2 linked regions of the Saccharomyces cerevisiae S288C genome follow. The protein of the gene in region 1 interacts with the protein of each later gene in a pairwise test. Each region holds a gene or a part of one and is shown in the gene's direction. Other genes may lie near its edges.

The links.
Region 2: the proteins of DHR2 (region 1) and UBP10 interact in a two-hybrid assay, tested with the Saccharomyces cerevisiae proteins (4 studies listed by BioGRID, with this or other methods).

What each region holds. Positions count from the first base shown.
Region 1 is NC_001143.9:286,864-291,678, forward strand, and holds DHR2 (RNA helicase), read left to right. Parts: upstream 1-1,981; coding exon 1,982-4,189; downstream 4,190-4,815. Other genes in the region: SMY1 (Smy1p), read left to right, coding at 1-1,710; PSG1 (Psg1p), read left to right, coding at 4,590-4,815. UniProt on the Saccharomyces cerevisiae protein: Probable ATP-binding RNA helicase. Required for 18S rRNA synthesis.
Region 2 is NC_001146.8:287,668-292,376, forward strand, and holds UBP10 (ubiquitin-specific protease UBP10), read left to right. Parts: upstream 1-1,830; coding exon 1,831-4,209; downstream 4,210-4,709. Other genes in the region: SWT21 (Swt21p), read left to right, coding at 327-1,400; mitochondrial 54S ribosomal protein uL11m MRPL19, read right to left, coding at 4,526-4,709. UniProt on the Saccharomyces cerevisiae protein: Deubiquitinating enzyme involved in telomere and HM loci silencing, which is the repression of chromatin structure which leads to a stop in the transcription of nearby genes.

The sequences.
Region 1 (4,815 bases):
GAAGATGTTCAGAAATTTCTGGTGCATCCAATAATAAATGATGTTTTGAATGGTTATAACGGTACTGTAATAACATATGGACCAAGTTTCAGCGGAAAGTCCTATTCCCTTATTGGATCAAAAGAAAGCGAAGGAATTCTACCGAACATATGCAAGACCTTGTTTGATACGCTAGAAAAAAATGAAGAAACAAAGGGAGATAGTTTTAGCGTAAGTGTTTTGGCATTCGAAATATATATGGAGAAAACGTATGACTTATTGGTACCTTTACCTGAAAGAAAACCATTAAAGCTTCACCGTTCTTCAAGCAAAATGGACTTAGAAATCAAAGATATTTGTCCGGCACATGTCGGATCGTATGAAGACTTAAGAAGCTACATTCAGGCAGTCCAAAACGTCGGCAATAGGATGGCATGTGGCGACAAGACAGAGAGATCAAGATCACACCTAGTTTTTCAATTACACGTAGAACAAAGGAATAGAAAAGATGATATATTAAAAAATAGTTCTTTATATCTGGTTGATTTACACGGGGCAGAGAAGTTCGATAAAAGAACTGAAAGTACGCTATCACAAGATGCGTTAAAAAAATTAAACCAATCTATTGAGGCGTTGAAAAACACTGTGCGGTCCTTGTCAATGAAAGAGCGTGATTCAGCCTACAGCGCAAAAGGATCACATAGTTCTGCTTACCGTGAATCGCAATTAACTGAAGTGTTAAAAGATTCCCTTGGGGGAAATAGGAAAACAAAGGTGATATTGACATGTTTCTTAAGTAATGTTCCAACTACCCTATCAACACTAGAATTTGGTGACAGTATTAGACAGATCAATAACAAGGTTACAGATAACACCACAGGTTTAAATCTGAAAAAAAAAATGGATCTATTTATTCAGGACATGAAAATTAAGGATGATAATTATGTTGCCCAAATTAATATACTAAAGGCTGAAATAGACTCTTTAAAAAGCCTTCACAATAAATCTCTTCCCGAAGACGACGAGAAAAAAATGTTAGAAAATACAAAGAAAGAAAATATCAAACTAAAGCTTCAATTAGACAGTATTACCCAATTATTGAGTAGTTCTACCAATGAAGATCCTAACAATCGTATTGACGAAGAAGTTTCTGAAATATTAACGAAAAGATGCGAACAGATTGCTCAGCTTGAGTTATCTTTTGATCGACAGATGAATTCCAATTCTAAGTTGCAGCAAGAGTTAGAATACAAAAAGTCAAAAGAGGAAGCCTTAGAGTCTATGAACGTTAGGCTACTAGAACAAATTCAGCTTCAGGAAAGAGAGATTCAAGAGCTTTTAACTACTAACGCCATCTTAAAGGGTGAACTAGAAACTCACACTAAACTTACTGAAACACGCAGTGAAAGGATAAAATCTTTGGAAAGTTCTGTCAAAGAGCTTTCTCTTAATAAATCTGCAATCCCATCTCCTAGAAGAGGGTCTATGAGCTCGTCATCAGGAAATACTATGTTGCATATCGAGGAGGGTTCTGAAATATCAAATAGCCCTTGGTCAGCCAATACTTCCTCAAAACCTTTAGTATGGGGCGCGAGAAAGGTTTCTTCTAGCAGTATAGCAACCACTGGATCACAGGAGTCTTTTGTGGCAAGACCGTTCAAGAAGGGATTAAACCTCCATTCGATAAAAGTCACTTCGAGTACTCCAAAAAGTCCCTCTTCTGGAAGCTGACTATAATTAAGTTCGATAATTGTACGATACAACTGTGTAGTATCTTTGTAATTATAATCATGATGATAACGCTAATAATTTGTACGTATAATGCTGACTGAAAGATGTACTTTTCTTCTACCGTTTTTCTTCGGCGGCTATTCGTTTACAATGATTTGGAAAAATGAGAAAAATTGAAAATAAAAAATTCTGCTCGATGAGATGAGATGAGGTTATGATATATATGTAAGAATTCCTCAAGAAGAGGTTGCAAGAGTCTGCAGACATTATCATGGCAGCAAATAGCAATAGTAGAGTTGCATCAAACCATACTTCTAAAAAACAAAAGGTTAGGAGGAATATACATCCATTCACGAATAACACTCGGATTAAAAGAGCTAGTAAAATCGTAAAGTTTAATGATTCAGGCGAGGGCGACCATGTTTCAGACCAACGTTCGAACAAGGAAAATGTCCTTACTTATAAATCTTTGAAAAGTCGGGCAAGCGATTTACTCAAAATGAGAGAAACACTTCCCGTTTACCAACACAAGCGAGAAATAATGTCATATATTGAAAGCAATCCCGTTACCGTCCTTATTGGTGAAACAGGTTCTGGTAAATCAACACAAATTCCGCAATTCGTATTAGAAAAATTATATGATACGAAGAAGCATGGGTCGATTGCTGTAACTCAACCCCGTCGTGTTGCGGCCATCAATTTGGCTACACGTGTTGCTCAAGAACATGGTTGCAAACTGGGTGAACAAGTAGGTTATTCTGTCAGATTTGACAATACGACTACTACAAGAACAAGACTTAAGTATCTGACTGACGGTATGTTACTTAGAGAACTTATGATGAATAGTGACCTTAGAGAATACAGCGTCATCGTTATCGATGAAGCGCATGAAAGAACTGTGCTTACAGATTTGATATTGGGGTTCTTAAAATCCTTGATACAAGGGCCAAGACCTGATTTGAGAATAATTGTTATGTCTGCAACATTGCAAGCCGAAAAATTTAGTGAGTTCTTCAATAATGCCCCAATCTTATTTGTAGAAGGAAGAAAATTTGATGTCAAACAATACTACTTGAAGGCGCCAACAGATGATATAGTAGACGCTGTCATCAGGTGTTGTATACAAATAAACCAAGGTGAAGAACTGGGAGATATCTTATGTTTTTTACCGGGCCAAGAAGAGATTGACAAAGCAGTGACTATAATGGAGAAAATTGCAAAGTATGTTTCAGATGAGGCCCCAGTACCATTAATAGTTCCTTATCCTTTATATGCAGCTCTTCCCGCGGTCCAACAGTCCTTGGTCTTCGCTCCGATAAAGGGTTTCAAGAGAAAAGTCGTCTTTAGTACCAATATTGCAGAAACATCTGTTACCATATCCGGTGTTAAATTTGTCGTTGATTCTGGTCTTCGAAAAGTCAAAGTTTGGAGACATCAGCTGGGATTAGCCACTCTACTTACCGTACCCATTTCTCAGGCAAGTGCGATGCAGAGAAGTGGTCGTGCTGGTAGAGAAAGTGAAGGAAAGAGTTTCAGGCTTTATTGTGAGTCTGATTATGTGAAATTACCTAAACAAAGTGAACCTGAAATAGCCAGAAGTGACGTCACATCTCCTGTGTTAATGTTGAAGAGATATGGTGTTGATGACCTGCTAAACTGGACCTGGTTTGAGAACCCTGGAAAGGAAGCTATAGTAATGGGGCTTCAGGAACTTTATGAATTGGGTGCTCTTGACACTCGTGGAAAGATAACTAAACGGGGTCAACAAATGGCTCTGTTACCGCTACAACCGCATTTAAGTAGTGTCTTAATTAAAGCCAGTGAAGTCGGATGTTTGAGTCAGGTCATTGATATCGTCTCTTGCCTTAGTGTGGAAAATTTACTGTTGAATCCGTCACCAGAAGAAAGAGATGAGGTGAACGAGCGTCGTTTGTCCTTATGCAACGCTGGTAAAAGGTATGGTGACCTTATCATGCTGAAAGAGCTTTTTGATATCTATTTCTACGAACTAGGGAAAAGTCAAGATGCAAGCTCTGAAAGAAATGATTGGTGTAAAGGATTGTGTATTTCGATACGTGGGTTTAAAAATGTAATTCGTGTCAGAGACCAGTTAAGAGTTTATTGTAAGCGTTTGTTTTCTTCAATCAGTGAAGAGGATGAAGAATCCAAAAAGATTGGTGAAGATGGCGAGCTAATTTCGAAAATTTTAAAGTGTTTCTTAACTGGGTTTATCAAGAATACAGCTATAGGGATGCCAGACAGGTCTTATAGAACTGTTTCCACTGGAGAGCCGATAAGCATTCATCCATCATCTATGCTATTTATGAATAAAAGCTGCCCCGGTATAATGTACACGGAGTATGTCTTTACTACGAAGGGATATGCCAGAAATGTTAGTAGGATTGAACTTTCATGGTTACAAGAAGTTGTCACTAATGCAGCCGCTGTAGCAAAGCAAAAAGTTTCTGATTCAAAATAAGTCACCTACTCTTAGCGCATTTTTATTGTATATAAAGGCATTTAATGTAATTTATAGAGCATTATAAATCGTAACAACTACTGCAGTATGAGTTTCATGGATTCATTTCTCAATATCTTATGAATATACACAGGTATATATGTATATTCATGTTAAACGCCTTTCGAATTGTTCGTTGGCTTTTTTTGTGAAATTATCTCGGGAAAAGGGCGAAATTATATTATTTTGCCGTTGACATTTTGAAAAGGAATAAAAGATCATGAAAAAAATAAGAAAGGCAATTCGACGCATTTCTCTCAGCAAGCTATTCTTTACTTTTGAAGAACAAAATATTTTAGCAAAAAGGTTAAGACAATATAGTCGGAAGCAGTTCTGCGGGATCTGAAGGAATTGCGGAATAATGAGATTTCACGATAGTATACTTATCTTCTTTTCTTTGGCATCGCTTTATCAACATGTTCATGGTGCAAGACAAGTCGTTCGTCCAAAGGAGAAAATGACTACTTCAGAAGAAGTTAAACCTTGGTTACGTACGGTTTATGGAAGTCAAAAAGAATTAGTCACTCCTACGGTCATTGCCGGTGTCACTTTTTCTGAAAAACCAGAAGAAACACCAAATCCATTGA
Region 2 (4,709 bases), on another chromosome or scaffold:
TCCGTTTTAAAGAGAGTATTATCACGGTCTGAAAATTAAGCAAAAAAAGAAAAGCGTGCACTTAAAAATCGGTGGTGGACAGACCGCATATTCCATAAACATAGATGGTACAAGGGCATTATGAGTCCTTGAATAGAAAAAATGATGAAAGAATGAATGCAATTCCGTATTGCGACACTGGCGAAGTGTTCGAGGCTGACACGATAGCGAATGTATGGAAAAGAGAAGATAAGGAATGGTTAAAAAGGACTCAAAGTGATCGAAGTGGATACGAGTATCCACGACTAGGAGAATCACCATATATCAATATGACAGACGACTTCAGAATGGAAAAGAAGGTAATATGTCAAGATATCTTTTGGTCATGTGATGGTACATCGTTTGTTTCTGTGCATAATGATTTTGGCATCAGACAATATTTAGTGCCGGAGGAAAGTAATACGGACAAGCTAAACAGAAACCTCCTTCTACCATTTACAAGGTTTTTTAGAAACCAGTCTATTGTTTCATGTGCAATAGACCCGTTTTACACGCTTTATAACGAGAATTCCGACAGGTTAGCTGGTGACAGAATCGTGGTTGGAGGAAAAAACTTCCCTCTACAACTATACTCTTTGATGGACGGGCAGTGTATCCTCAGCTATGACACGATGAACAAAATAAATGGAGAATACGAAACTGTATACAGTGTGAAAATCGATGTTGAGTCTCGTGTATACACTGGCTCATGCCGTAACAAAGTGGCGATATACGACAAGAGCAGACGAGATGCCGTGTGGATGAACCAGAGTACCAAAAAAGCAAGCAAGGGAAGACAAAGCATTATATCTTGCTTTGAAGAGCAACCAATGGGAGGGCAAGCTCTCTCAAGAGGATCTCTATTGTGTGGCAGTTATGCGAATGAAATGTTTCAGGTAGACTGCCGTCATCAACGACTAGAGAGACTGAACTACACCCGCACAGTTGCAGGTGGGATTGTACAAATCCTTACAAGCGATAACGGGCGTTACGTGTACGTTGTCAGACGCAACAGTGACGCGATTAGTATTTACGATCGGCGAAACCTGCAGCACGAGCTTAACGTATTGCGCCTACCGTTTCGGATCCACCACAACTCTGCAAAGTTGAAGGCATATATAGATACGGCTTACGGACTAAGTATGGGGACGCCGCAGGGAACAATATTGAACTGGGGTCGAGACCTTGTGGAATTTGGAGGTGTTCCCTCACACAATAGTGTTGAAGACCCACTAATCACGTCTATCCCGCCAGAGTCAGAGTGGCGCACTAACCTTGATTCTACTATTCCTGCCACGGTAGTGAAGAATTGTCCTGGGGATCCCGAACTGTTCGCCCTATCTCATGGGGGCACAATTTCATTATGCAGGTTCGGCGGCTAAAAACGGCAAACCCGTATTCGTGTATCACCCGGCCAGCTTTCTCCGATGAACGCGCACAAGTAAGAAGTTAAATTGCATCCCCCAGACACCACCTCTTTTGTTCACTTCTTGCCTCATGCCGTCAAAAAATTTTTTTCGCATCGAAAAAAATCCCCAAAAGAAAAGAAAAAAGTTCTTATTTTTATATAGTGCCACCATCGGGAAAAACTTCCCTGTAAAGCATTAACAGAGTCTTCCATCCCCGCTTCTGTCCTTTATTTGTTTCATAGAAGCTATTAAGCATCATATACTGCACACAGGAGCATGCATAGTGTCTGAAGCCTCTTTTGTTCTGTACTGCACATAATATTTCATAGAAAAACTAACGGAAAGAATCTACAACTCATAGTATCTGTAAATCCGTCCTATTGTCATATCACAATCACAGACTATGACCACTCAAGAATCGATCAAACCTTTGGTAGATAGAATCCTATCAAATCCCCTGCAGTTCAATGCTGCAATGATCTCTAACAAATCGAATAATAATGATACTTCCGCCGCGCCGGAAAATAGCTCGTATATTGTGATAGGAAAACAGCATAATAACAATAGTAATAGCACAGCTATTGCTGCAACGGCCGAATCCAAGCAAATAAAAGAAAATAACTTGATAGACAGGCCAAACGGAAAGAAAACCAACACTGTTCCTAAATCTATGGCTGAAGCTTTATTGTTGTATACTTCTAAAAATGATAAAGATGCTGCAGATGCTACTGGTGCCAAGAAGTCAGCGGAGCTTTCTACGGAGCTTTCTACGGAGCCTCCTTCCTCTTCTTCGGAAGATGACAAAGTAGGAAAAGAGGAAGAGGAAGAGGGTGAAATATTTCATGAGGCAAGAGACTATGTAGAACCCCGAAAAGCTAGTTTGAAGGAACGCGACAACGCAGATAAGGGCGATGGTGAAGACATCGGCGAAGACATCGGTGAAGACATCGGTGAAGACATCGGTGAAGACATTGGTGAAGACATTGGTGAAAACTTGGGTTCTCCATTAGCAACCATTGATGATTCATCTAATGAGAATGAAAAGGAAAAAAGAAAGGAACTGTCTACAAGCATTAGCAGTGATGACGAAATAGAAGACGACGAGGATGAGGATGACATGGATTATGATTCTAGTGCTATGGAAAAAGAGCTCCCTGAAGAAGAGGAGAACGATTCCAGCTCCAAAATTTCTGAAGGCGAAAAAAAGAGTTTATATCAAGATTTAATGGAAAATAGTACAGTGGAAGTAAATCGGTACGAACCAGTAAACAACACCAAAGAAAATGGAAACAGGAATCCAAAGGGAGAGGAGGAGGAAGAAGAGGAAGAAGAGCTGAAACATAAATCTAGGTCAATCACCCCTCCGGTTACAATATCAAATCTATCAAACTTTTACCAATTCAATGAAAATATCAATGATCGTGGTTCTTTAAACTCTACTAGAATTGTTAAAAATTGGGGCGACAAATTCACCAATTTGAAGCCTCGTGGCCTTTTGAATCATGGTGTTACTTGTTACACAAATGCTGCTGTACAGGCTATGTTACACATTCCTTCGATACAACATTATCTTTTTGATATACTAATGGGGAAATACGATAGCACCATCTCAAAAAATTCCGTTTCCTATACTTTAGCTGAAACAAGTAAAAAAATGTGGTTACCGGTCTCAAAAAACCCTAGAAAGAACGTTTCAGCTTCCTACATTAATCCAAAACATTTGATTTCCAGATTGGATGACATTAATTGTATGATGAGCGAATGGCAGCAGGAAGATTCACATGAGTACTTCATGTCTCTGATGTCAAGATTACAGGAAGATTCTGTTCCCAAGGGTCATAAACTTATAGAATCGATAATATATGACATATTCGGTGGTCTTTTAAAGCAGATCGTTACTTGCAAATCTTGTGGCAGTATATCTAAAACAGAACAACCATTTTACGATTTATCGTTGCACTTGAAAGGGAAGAAAAAACTTGATCCAAATTCTGACCTGTCGAGTGATAGCATTAACGGCACTTCAGCCACCACTTCTACCACTACCTCCAATGCTGCCACAAAACCATCTCTTTCATCCTCTTCATCTGTCAATTTAAACAATGGCTCACCATTTGCCGCTGCCAGTGATTTAAGTTCAGCCAACCGCAGATTTTCTATTGAAAAATCAATTAAAGATTTCTTCAATCCCGAATTAATCAAGGTTGACAAGGAGCAAAAGGGTTACGTTTGTGAGAAGTGTCACAAGACCACGAACGCCGTGAAGCATAGTTCAATATTAAGGGCTCCTGAAACTTTACTTGTGCATCTGAAAAAATTCAGATTCAATGGCACGTCCTCATCAAAAATGAAGCAAGCTGTTTCTTATCCTATGTTTTTAGATTTGACGGAATATTGTGAGAGTAAAGAGCTACCTGTCAAATACCAACTATTAAGCGTGGTGGTTCATGAGGGCCGCTCCCTTTCTTCAGGTCACTACATTGCCCACTGCAAGCAACCAGACGGTAGCTGGGCCACTTACGACGACGAGTATATTAATATAATATCTGAAAGGGACGTTTTAAAGGAACCCAACGCATATTATCTCCTATACACGAGGCTAACTCCAAAATCGGTTCCATTGCCATTGGCGAAATCTGCCATGGCCACTGGTAATGTTACCTCTAAATCCAAACAGGAACAGGCTGTTAACGAACCAAATAACCGCCCATTGAAGATTAATAGCAAGAAAAATAACAGAAAAAAATGGAAAAAAAATAAAAAAAGGAAGTTCACCAAATGAAAAAACTCGATATTCCTGGATTTTCCTCTTTTCATAGGCATTTTTATTAGCATTTCATTTTTATTATACCAAATCAATATATACATATAAATATCCGGTCTTTATTGACTTATAAAACAACTCTCAGTATACAGAGTTGGAGAAGCGTTTACTCAGAATAGCTTCAGTACTACCGAGCTTTGCTAACATAACGGGAGAAAGAGAATTTAAAACTTATATACATATTTACAGAATAGATCAGTAGAAAGAAGAAGGAAGGTCTGTTGAAAATTTCTCGAAATTGACGGTACTTTTTTGTCTTTTCACTACTTACAGATCAAGGTACAACCTTAATACCCATACTTTTTGCAACGCCAACTATTGATTTAACAATACCTTCCATCTCCAATAAACTATGCCTTTCATCACTCTTTTTTATCTTGGCTATTTCGTAAACGTGCTTCAGCGATAACTCTCCTAAAGCACGGGTTGGTCCCTTGGCAGGTGCACTGCCTAACATT